Pelodiscus sinensis: one gene and its partners. The protein of the gene in region 1 purifies or fractionates together with the protein of each later gene. This does not show direct contact. Links are inferred from orthologs where the notes say so. Each region holds a gene or a part of one and is shown on either strand. Other genes may lie near its edges.

Region 1 (3,747 bases):
TGACTTGATGGGGGATATGAAAGGCTTCATTTATTAAAAATGTCAGGTTCTTTGAAGCATTGCACTATATAGTGCAAAGTGTTGTGATGATGTTTTATTAATATCCATGGCTCATTTTCCTCACTTGTAAGAAAGGGTTAATTACACTTACCCACCATTGAGATCCTCTGATGACAAGTGCTGTACAAGTGCAAAGTGTTTTCATTACATTTTACCTAATGTCTTTCTTTGGCTTTACAAATTAACTGTTGATTTAGTTTATAGATTTTTTAAAAATTGCAATTTATTATGGCATTTATTTATTTTACACAACCACAGTTGTAGGCCTCCCCTCCTGTGGTCAGATACAGGGCCTTTGGACAGACACAGGGAACTGCATCAAACAATCCTATTTCAGGATCTTTGTTTTACTTTTTCTGGGTGTTTTCTACACCCTCTTTTCTCACCCATCTGAAAAACCATCTTTTTGCATCCTTTGTGCAAGCACCTCGTATATATGTCTCTTTAATAAGGGCCCAATGCACAGCTCCACCTGACCCCAACTAAAAACAAATCTGCCAGTAACTTCAATGCAAAGAGAGCCACAAATTACAGTAATAATCCAGCATGCAGAAAAACAAAACAAAAAAGCCCAAACTGAGTCTGCAAACTCTTTTTTTGAATGTGAAAGCAAACCCTGTCGATACAAATATCGAGCAAGCTACCCCTCACCGCAGCATCTCACTGATAAATATCCTCTTGAGTTCATCTCCATGAGCAATTATTTCCTTGGTGCACTGTATCTTGATCGTGGTTTGGTTTTTTTTTAAAGAAAATTAATGTATTTCTTGAATGTGATGTGAATTCTATGCACTTCCCCTACCCGCTCCCCTCCTCGCTCTCCAGACTTCAGAAATAAAAAAATAGCTTTTAGAAACCCGATCTGTTGTTTGCGCAACACAATCACTTTTTTTTTTAAAGCGACAGGGTGTCTAGACGCCCACGTGATTGGGGGCCGGGGCTGGGCAGCGATACTGCGCACTGCGAGTCACCGAGGCAAAGCGGCGAGGAGGGGGGAAGGAGAGGAGGAGGAGGAGGCTGTTGGCTGGCTAGAGAGCCGAGCTGGCGGACGGCTGCAAGGCTATGGACACTGCTAGGTAATAGCCACCTCACTTGGGAGCCCCCCTCCTCTTCGCAGGCCACCCCCTCCAAAAGACAAGGAACTCCCCCTGTCGCCCAAGGGAAGGAAGAAGAAAAAGGTGTGTGCGTGTGGGGAGAGACAGAATCTTCTGCAATGAGCGCTCTGTGAAGGAAGAAGGGAGTGGAAAAAGGAGGGGAAGGAGGAAAAAAAAAGGCAAAGCAACCCAAGCGAGCCAAGCAAAAGGAGCTGCTTTTTTCCCCCGTGTGTGTTGATAGCCGATGCAAGGACTGGAAAGGCTGCCTTGGAGGAGGAGAGCTGCAGCCAGAAGGGAAGGAAGAAGAGCGAACGGCTGCATTAGCATGTACTAGCGAGAGAAAGAGCGAGACAGAAGAGAGACTGAAGGGGGGGGGGGGGGGCAGGTGATAATTTCAGCGCCTGTCATTCATTATAGGATCATCCCTGCCACTTCTCACCCATCCGTCCTTTTATTTTGTAAGGGTTGGGTGGGAGGAGAGGTGGGGGCAACTGTATTTTAAGAAAAACTGTCCCTACCTCCTGGTCTTTCTGAAAGGCAGCCAGGGAGAGGGGAGCGGAACCAGCCTTTTGGAAGGGAAGAGAGACTCCCACTTTTAAATATATATATATATATATATATATATATATATATATATATATATATATATATATATCTTAGCAGCCGCCTCGACGATTTTTTTGGTGTGTGGATTAAAATCTTTGCTAAGAAGAAGGGGAAAAAGCATCAGGAAGACTTGGGCGCTTTTTTAAAAAGGATGTAACATTCTTGGGTGCATTTTTTTTAAAAAAAATGTAAGTTTTTGTGATTATTCAGACGTCCACATTTTAGTTTTTTTTTTAAATTATGAGTTCTTTTGGCTCTTTCTTTTTAAAAATCCACCCCCTCTTGTAGAAAATCCTTTTTTCCCAGTCCCCTTCCAAAAAACTCTTATTTTTATGGAATCTATGGATATGTTATTACTAAGGAAATAGGGGTTTTTTTTTTTAAATCGTGTGCCTTCGTTTTGCAACACAGTTTTTGGGGGATGGGGAACATCTTGATTTTTTTTTATCTAAAACAGTCATCCTCATCTGAAACCAAATGTGATCTAGAGATTTTGCAATCACTTTGACAGACCTGCAACACAAGAAGATCTGTTCTTCCCCTATCTCTTTGACGGGGGAGCATGTTTTCTGCAATTCTTCTGATACAGTGAACATTTGATTTCTCCCCTCCACCCCATCTCTTTTAGTTTCTGTTCTCCCAGTTCCTATTTAGAAGTAGTTGGTGAGAAATTCTGAATAGATCTGTATGAAACTGTAGGATTTCCAGCGGCTTTTTGAAGGATTTAAGAGAGACAGGAACAACTCCAGCCCTGTAAGAGACTGGCGTATGTTACAGATTGCTTTGGCTCTTCCACAACCTCCACCGCCACCAACCCTCCTCCCCACTATATCCCTATCATTTCAGGCTGCTTGTGTTGGCTGCCTGGACTCGGATCCCGGATTCTTCATGATTTGCGGACGACATGCTCGTTTTTTAGCCGGGAAACCTTCTTCTCGTCCCGCATGTTCAGGACCAAACGATCGGTGCTCGTCCGGCGACTCTGGAGGAGCCGTGCGCCCGGCGGGGAGGAGGAGGAAGGAGAGCCCGGGGAACCAGGAGCGGACAGCCGGGCGCATGGGGCTGGAGGCGGCCGGGGCTGTTGTATGGGCAAGTCGGGGAAGATCAGCAAAGCTCACCTCGGCTCGGAGGCGGAATTGAAAGCGCTGACCCACGCGGTCCTGAAGAGGCTGAAGGAGAAACAGCTGGAGGTGCTCTTGCAAGCGGTGGAATCCAAAGGGGGCACGCGGACCTCCTGCCTCCTCCTGCCCGGCAAGGTGGACTCCAAACTGGGCCAGCATTGGTACTCGCTCCCTTTGCTGCTGTGTAAAGTATTCAGGTGGCCCGATCTCAGGCATTGCTCGGAAGTGAAGAGGTTATGTTGCTGTGAATCTTATGGAAAAACTCACCCGGAGCTGGTTTGCTGCAATCCCCACCACCTCACCAGGCTCTGTGAACTAGGTACGCCGGAGGGCAGGCATGTGCACGGGTGGGAAACTCCCGAGCTGGGGTGGGTGAGCGGGTAGGAACACGGGAACTGCCGTATGCACAGAAAATAGGGACATAGGGGTGGGAGTCCAACACTGGTTCTGAGGATGGTTGGATAATCAGCGTCTATTGTCCGCGTTTGTGTCACACAATAGCCGAGGCTTCCAGGTTTTTTTACTCTGGCAAAATTCGCACGTCACCCTAGGAAGGTGCTTGGAGTTCGGGTTGCAATTTTTAGCCGGCCTCTTCCCTTGCAAGGCGCTTCTTGCACAGCGGGTTTCCTTTTTTTTTTTCTACCTGCAGTAAAACAAGGATGTGGTTCACTGTTGTCTATATGGAGAAGGCTGTGTACAAAAAAGGAAACCCTGTAACCCTTCAGATGCCTTGAACCTTTCAAACGATATTCAGCAGTGAATTTTTGCTTTAGAGAGGGTTGATAATTTGCAGAGAGGTCCCGGCGAACGAGCCAGACGTGCATAATCTAGATCTGCTTTGCTTTGGGAAATGGATCCCTGGAGTT
Region 2 (3,747 bases), on another chromosome or scaffold:
TTGGAGCAAGCTGGGGACGCAGGGTCTTAGTGGGGAGTGAGTGAGGGGGATTAGGATCCAGGGATCTGGCTTGAAGGGGGACGCTTACCTGGCTTTGTGCCCCCTTGCAAAGAGGGAAAGCCTCTGGACAGCGTCTCACCACGCTGAGGTTCTCCCAGCGGGATGGGGAGAGAGCTCAGCCACCCGCCGGCCCCCACGAAGCGGGGAGTCTGAGCAGCCGTGAGGCGTCTGTGCAGCCGCGAGGCTGCAGCACCAGCTCCGGCATCCCACACAGAGGGCATGCAGGGGATGGGGAGCTGAAGAAAGCCCCAACTTCCCCACTAGATCTGGCTCGCAGAGAGAGGCAGATTCAGTGAGCTGGGTCTGGCAGGAAAGGCTGGGGCTTTTTTCACTCTCCCCTACCCCTGCGTACCCTCCGAATGGAAGCGAGAGCTGGTGGTGCGGCCTCGTGGCTGCATGGCAACGATGAGCATTGAGAGGGGCTGAGCTTGAGTTATGAACCCCCTGGAAGGTGGTCCGCACACTACACTTTGAGAACCACTGCTCTAGAGGAACATGGGTATTGCCAGATATCAGAACCCCTCACGCTAGTCATGCACCAGTCCTGGAAGGCTACCAATGGAATGGAAGTTGTAGAAATGCCATAGATCAGCGATATACAGTTTTGAGACACTAGCCTACAATGTGTGGTAGAAGGGGTTGCCTATACACAAATATCTGTCCACTGAGAACAAGAAAGCCCACCCCCTGAAAAGCTCCCCAAATTTCCCTATTCTTTAAAAGAGGGTAATCTGAGAGCCCTCTGGTAAATATTTTCCCATACCCGGAATGGAGACAGCCCTCTCCCCTCTCCTATAAGTCTTCAGTTGCCTTCTATTGTTCCCAAAACACAAAAAAAGCATTCCAAGCCTCTCACACAACAAAAAGCAGAACCTACACCTATACAGAAGGTCGATCAGTTGAACACACACACTTCCTATTGCCTGCCTAGACAATGTGGCTCCCCAAATGTCCTTTGTAAAATACGCTCAGTCCCCTCTAGGATGCCAATGGTTAATTGGTAAACATCACCCTTACAACATGATGCTTACCAATTAGAATTAACCAGTGGACTAGCCAGCCCCGCAGCAGGAGTAGGGGGCCACTCCAGCCAGCCTCCCCCCACCCACCCTCCCTGCCTCATTTAAAGTTAACCACCTAAACAATGTTTAATCGGTTAACTGATAAAATGGGATTTCACATACCTAGCCCCCACAGCCTCCTGCCAGCTTCTCAGACAGCAGTTCCTTCTAGAGTCTCCTCCTAGACCTGCACCATCTTAACCCTACATCCATGAGAATAAGGCCCCCCTCAGCTAAACCTGTACGCACCTAGCCTCTTTCCCAACCTCAGATCCCACCTATGGAAGTTAAGCCAAGGTGCCCCAATCCCTTCCTCCCAGACATCCCCCCCATTCCTCCCTGCCAGGAAATAACAGACCCAGGCACCCCTACCCATTGTCCCCCAGAGACCCTCCTCACTTATACCTCCCCCAAACCCCAGCACCCCCTCAAAGAAAAGAGACACTTGCAGCTCCTTCAATTACCCTCTGGAAAGAGATCCCCAAATATATCTCAGACACCGCACAGGAAGGTAACCCCATTCCCTGCAGCACGGGGGGAAGCTCCTGAGCCCCCCGCATCCCTGCATTCCAGACAGGCAGCCCTCAGGTGCCCTGTAGGTAGGCCCCCAACCTGCCAAATCCCTGCACTTTCCTGGAGCATGGCCCCCAATCAGGGGGCCCTTCAGCCCCTCCCATCTCTCCAAAGCTCCCCAAAGAGCAAGGGGGCCCCTCAACCCCCCCATCCTGGCCCCCCCAGAGCGCAAGGGGGCCCCTCAACCCCTCCCATCCTGGCCCCCCCAGAGCGCAAGGGGGGCCCCTCAACCCCTCCCATCCTGGCCCCCCCCAGAGCGCAAGGGGCCCCTCAACCCCCCCATCCTGGCCCCTCCCCAGAGAGCAGGGGGGCCCCTCAACCCCCCCATCCTGGCCCCCCACAGAGCGCAAGGGGGGCCCCTCAACCCCCCCATCCTGGCCCCCCCAGAGGGCAGGGGGGCCCCTCAACCCCCCCATCCTGGCCCCCCCCAGAGCAGGGGGGGCCTCACAAGCACCAAGCCCCCCCGCAGCGGGAGGCCGCCGCCCCACGAGGGGGCTCCTGGGCCGCCGCACTCACCCCAGGCTCCCCCGGGGCCGCCCAGCAGCAGCAGGACCAGCGCGAGCGCGGCCCCCAGCAGCGGCGAGCGCGAGAAGGGGCCGGCAGCGCGAGCCCACTCCGCCATAGCAACCACCGCAGCCTCGCTCCCGTCCGGGCCCGGCCAGCGCGAGACACCGAGCGCGAGCGAGCAGCGCCGCCGGGGCTGCCGGGCCTTAAAGGGGAGGCCCGCCCGTAAAGGCGAGGGCGGGGGAGCAGCTGTCCGCCGACACTAAACAGAGCACGTCTGGGGCACTGTCCTCGGGAGGGAGTGAGCGTGCGGCTGCACGTGGGCTAGTCGGTGGGTGTGGACAGGAGTGTGGGAGCCATCGGTGCACAGTGCGTGTGCAAATGTATGTGCAAAGGCCGCTGGGGCTGGAGGGGTGAGGATGGATAGTGAGGCCAGCGGGTGTGCACATGTGCAAGCACACGGGTATGCAAGTGATAGGGAATGAACGTGCAGCGGGTGTGCAAATGCAAGTGGTGTACAATGGTGGTGCGAATTGGGGCAATGTGTGTGCCAGGTGTATGCCGCGTACCCAGTAGAGAGCTAGTGTCCTTATAAGGGCCAGTGTGTATAGTGCAGTGCGGGTGGGAATGGTCAATGGGCGTGCAGTGCAGTGCCGGAGAAGCCAACACCGTTCTGTGTGCCCTGCTCATGGAGTAGTGTGCGGTTTTTGTGCAATGCACATGGATGTTACATCCTAACTGAGAAGCACACCTGGAAAGAACTAGTGTAGTATTCACAAAAAGAGAGAAGAGCAATAGGTGTCACACAGACATGCCGTGCAACCAAGAAAAGGCTGCATGTAACGTGTGGGCAATACACAGGGGGATGCATCAGTCATCTCTACAATGCATATGGGATTAGTCTTCATGTCCTTGGAGGGAGTCAATGTCACCCAAGGCACTACAGGTAGAGGCGACTCTAATGTGGTTACACATGAAGCCTAGCATTGCAGACACAGAAATAATCTATTTTTCCCACCCTCCAATTCTGCTCTGCCGACACAGTGATACTGGATCCCCCTGCTCTTGGCTAGAAGGGCTATTTTCAGACCCCAGCATCCAGCAAACCTGGCAGCGGAACATGCTAAATGCAGACAGACTGAGCAATGTGAGCTTGAGGCTGGCTGGCTGGACATCCCAGACCATTTCATTGCTACCCAGAAAGGCACCAGTGGAGTCTCTGGCATTCCAATTAAAGCACATTCATTGCAAACTGCTGGCCTCTCTCTCCCTCCCTTCTCCTATATAGAGAACATGCCGCCAATCTATTGGTCCCTTGGGACTTGGTGTGCTGGGTTTACTGATTGTTGCATTCCAGAAAAAAAAATTCCGTCCTAAATTCTTGCTGGAAGCCAAGCCAGTGATTAATTTTCTGAGTTCCTAAAGCATGTGTGTATGTGTGTGCAGACACACAAAGATCCCAAAGCTACAGTAATAAAAAACTCCAGTCCCAGAGGGTGCTGAGATAACCCATATGTTGTAGGATCAAGCTCATAAGCAGAAAGATCAT
Region 3 (3,747 bases), on another chromosome or scaffold:
TTCCAGTACAATATAGCTATGAGACTCTCTGGTAATAGCAGACATTTTTCTGTTGTCAACAATCAGGAAAGACAGAAATAAGAAGGGATGAAGTACCATTAGCCCTTCATTTTTCATCTCTTGCTGATAGGATTAGTAACTGTCCATCTAGTAAGTGTCTGGTAGATGTTTCAAGACCCAATTTGTCGCTTGTCCTCATGGGGAAATTAAAGTCTACAGTTATACTGCTGTAGCTATAATATGTCTATCTAGACAAGTTCTTAAATAGCTCAGAACTCCAGTGGGAGAGAATAAACTTGAGTTCAAAGAGTCCAAGTGAAAAAAAAATTCTTTGCAGATTCAAACTAAATATCACAAAATCAATCTGGTTCAATATGTAGGTTTGTAGATTTAGGACAAAAGTCTAGATTAGAACAAGAATAGTATGTGCACTGCAGATCGGGATTAAGACACATTGGTAGAGCTGTTTGAAAAGCATTTGTGCAGTAACTACCTGCATCATGGCTGGTTCACCCCGTACTATTAGTCTTGTTTACATCTGAATTAAGTTTCTCCCTCTTAAAATTATTGCCATTATCTCATTTATCTGACAATTCAGCTTTTAGGTTCAACATTCTGTGAAAAATAAAACCATTAACTGAGCTATCTAAATAGAAAGTTACTACCAAAGCAGAAGATGTGTAAACTGATGTATAAAGAATATTCCTCTTTGAAAAAACAGAACAGGTTTTCGCTTATGTACATGAAACCCTGAATACATATTCACAGAGACTAAATTTATTAACGTATGTTATTCTTGATCAAAAGACCTCCCCTGCTCTTAAGACTTATCCACAGTAGGGAAAAAGGCTACGTTTTTGTTCAACATGATAGTTAGACCTTAATATAGAGAGGCAAATTGCTGTCTGTGCTGGCTAGCTCTGGTGAACTCTAAGCTACCCACAAGGAGCCTCAGAAGGTAGTGTAGCATAACCTTGTACCCACAGGTGTGGGCAGTCATCTGATGAGTTTTGACTCTGGATCGTCTCAATCAGAAGAGAGGCCAGAGTGCCTCAATCTATCCCTATGCCTCAGCCACCCCCATCAACTTCCATGCATTTTTCTTCTTTTACCTCTCTCTCTCTCTCTCTCTGTTTAGCTAATCCTCTAACATTTTTAATAGACTGTAGTATTAACATGACAAATGCAAGTCATCATTCTGCTGGCATATTATAACTTATTCTTACCCTCCTGCCCCATCACACACCCACCCTTTTACCTGTTTCCTCTATTCAGACTGTACACTTGTCAGGACAGGGACTGTTTACAACGCTGCATACTATCTACTACAGTGGGGCCCTGTTCTCAGCTAGCCCCCAGGCACTACTGTAAACAACGGAGTCTGCTAGAAAGTCTACCAACAGGCCATATTTTGAACAGTAAAGCAAATAATTTCTTTCTTTAAACGATCAAATTATAAGATTGTCTTTTACATTAAACAGCTATGCAATTTAACTTGCTAGACAAAAAAAGAATCAAAAACCCCAAACGCATCTTTTTAAACATGAACTTCTCGGATTCCTAAGACAAGCCAGACTTCTTTTTTTTTTTTTTTTTGCAGCATCCATGACAAAAAGAAATTAGTAGAGCAGGAAAAACAAATTTTTTAAGGCCTCTATAAAACACTGGAGTAGACCACATTCTCCTAAAATACCCCACTAAAAGAAAATCAATGACAGCCATGAGAAATGGATGCCAAATATACATAGTGAGTACTCTTTCATGGAAATTTAAAATGCCCGCATTTTTGGTCATGAAGGCCTATTACTTCAATTGAAGCATGTATTATAGACACACACCAAAAGCAAATTCAGGAGATTATTTTGGGCTAATTAACAACAAAAGAACACAACACCTTTAACCTCCCTGAGGAGACAAGGTTTTGGCGTCCATGCCAATGAGACGGTTAAAAATAACTGTACGTCTCCATCAGCTGAACTGCCCCCACAGTTTGAGGCAACTCCGTCAGCGGAGCCTACGCTGATCCCTCTCCCCCACCGTCACTCTAGCACTCACACAGGAAAGGCCTGACCCACCCCACACAACACACGGGCCCGTTCACCCGAGACCCTTTTATCTGCCTCCCATCGCACCGTTAGCACCAGCCGCAGCTTCGCACAACCGACACCTTGGGGCGGACAATACAGACTTCTCCCTTCCCCAGCGCCTCCCTCCCCCTCTCCCCCATCTACGCTCCACCCCCACCCGGGGACCCCAACGTACCTGGGACATTAAGGCCGAGGGAGGGGGCGCTGGGCGGGGTAACAGCCCCCAGCAAGGGGAAGGGAGAACAAGGAAGAGGCGCCGTCAGCCACCGGAAGGACCCTGCTCAGCTCGTCTTGGCCCGGCCCAGCAGGCCCCGGCTTTCTTCTCCGCTACGCCCGCTCCCGTGGCCCGCCGCCCCTCACGCACCGCCCGCAACGCGGCCCTCGCGCCGCTGGCCGAATCCCCGCTCGAAGCCGCCCGGGGCCCGGCGAAAGTGCAGCCTAAGGCGGTTGAGGTTTTGTCTGCTGCGCAGCCCCCTGCGCGGACCGCCGCTGCCAAGCCCTCCCTCCCCAGGCGCGGCACGACACTTAGTGCTGCTTTCCAGCAGCCTGCAAAGCGCAGCCGCTGCGCCAAGCACCCCTCCTTCCGTGCGGCTCCTCCGCCTGGGCGGGGCTTCGGGTAGCATGGCATGTGCTGAAGAGCGCCATCTTTTGGGCGGAGGCGGGAATGGCAGCGGCAGCCACCGCGAGGGCCGCTGTGCTGAGCCCACGGCTGGCTTGTGGAGGGTGGGAGCGCTCAGGATGGCCGTGAGAAGGGCAGAGTGGCAAGCAGTTTCGCCAGAGCCAAAACACATCATGCGATTGGCTCAGTCAGAAATCACTAGCTATTGTTAAATAAATTAGGGTATTTGTGGTTTCCTAGCCTCTCAGCTGCACTCCCTTCATCTTAAAAAATAACAAATAGTTTGGTATCACTTTAACAAAACTTTAAAGTGCTACTAAACTGTTAGTTTCTTTTACGTTTTTCCTGTTACAGACTAACTGGGCTACCCTTCTGAATCGCTTCATCTTGTTCTGCAACCAAGAAGACTAGGTGCTTACTTTAAAATAGCTCAGAGATCAGTGATGTATACACCTGCAAGAAGAAGTCTGCAGCATTCTCTTCTTTATTATGAAGGCTCAATCAGTGAAGTTTCTGGTGCTGGATTCAGACCTATGCTAAAGCATTTTTCATTAACTGGTACCGAACAGTTTTCTCATTTCACAATACAAATAAATAAAGATGTATTATAAAAAGTACAGAGAATCTTGCCAACTTAGTTTTTCTCATTTACTCAGTATCACCTAGTTAAAAAGTCAAGAGATTCATCTCTCTATGCTCTGGTAGAGCTTAGTTCAACTACATATGGGATGGGTCCTTGTCCCTCATTGGATGATTGATGCCAGTGAAGAATACCTGGGCTCTTTATTATAATGGTACACCAGTTCCACTATGGTTAAGATTAAGACCAGCTTTCAGGTTAAAACCTAGCTGTTCTAAGTGCTCTGAAATCTGCAATGTCTCAGATTGTCTTTAATTTTGGTGTTTCATGGAAGTCCAGGGTTTGACAAGCGATCCAAATTTGTGGTCATTTGAACCAAGGGTTCCTAAGATACAACCTCCCACAAAAATAAATCAGCTTTCTTACAGTCCACAAGTTCTGCCAACAACAAATTTTTGCTC

What was found.
Region 2: the proteins of SMAD7 (region 1) and ACVR1B purify together in Homo sapiens (affinity purification with western blotting; 3 studies listed by BioGRID and IntAct, with this or other methods). This does not show direct contact. The link is inferred for Pelodiscus sinensis from reciprocal best matches to the Homo sapiens genes SMAD7 and ACVR1B.
Region 3: the proteins of SMAD7 (region 1) and RNF111 purify together in Homo sapiens (affinity purification with western blotting; 3 studies listed by BioGRID). This does not show direct contact. The link is inferred for Pelodiscus sinensis from reciprocal best matches to the Homo sapiens genes SMAD7 and RNF111.

The regions. Positions count from the first base shown.
Region 1 is NC_134716.1:116,252,190-116,255,936, forward strand, and holds the start of SMAD7 (mothers against decapentaplegic homolog 7), read left to right. Parts: upstream 1-1,024; 5' UTR 1,025-2,704; coding exon 2,705-3,200; intron 3,201-3,747. UniProt on the Homo sapiens protein: Antagonist of signaling by TGF-beta (transforming growth factor) type 1 receptor superfamily members; has been shown to inhibit TGF-beta (Transforming growth factor) and activin signaling by associating with their receptors thus preventing SMAD2 access.
Region 2 is NC_134729.1:5,485,959-5,489,705, forward strand, and holds the start of ACVR1B (activin receptor type-1B), read right to left. Parts: upstream 2,404-3,747; 5' UTR 2,317-2,403; coding exon 2,211-2,316; intron 1-2,210. UniProt on the Homo sapiens protein: Transmembrane serine/threonine kinase activin type-1 receptor forming an activin receptor complex with activin receptor type-2 (ACVR2A or ACVR2B).
Region 3 is NC_134724.1:30,138,472-30,142,218, reverse strand, and holds the start of RNF111 (E3 ubiquitin-protein ligase Arkadia), read right to left. Parts: upstream 2,676-3,747; 5' UTR 2,263-2,675; intron 50-2,262; exon of another isoform or gene 1-49. UniProt on the Homo sapiens protein: E3 ubiquitin-protein ligase. Required for mesoderm patterning during embryonic development. Acts as an enhancer of the transcriptional responses of the SMAD2/SMAD3 effectors, which are activated downstream of BMP.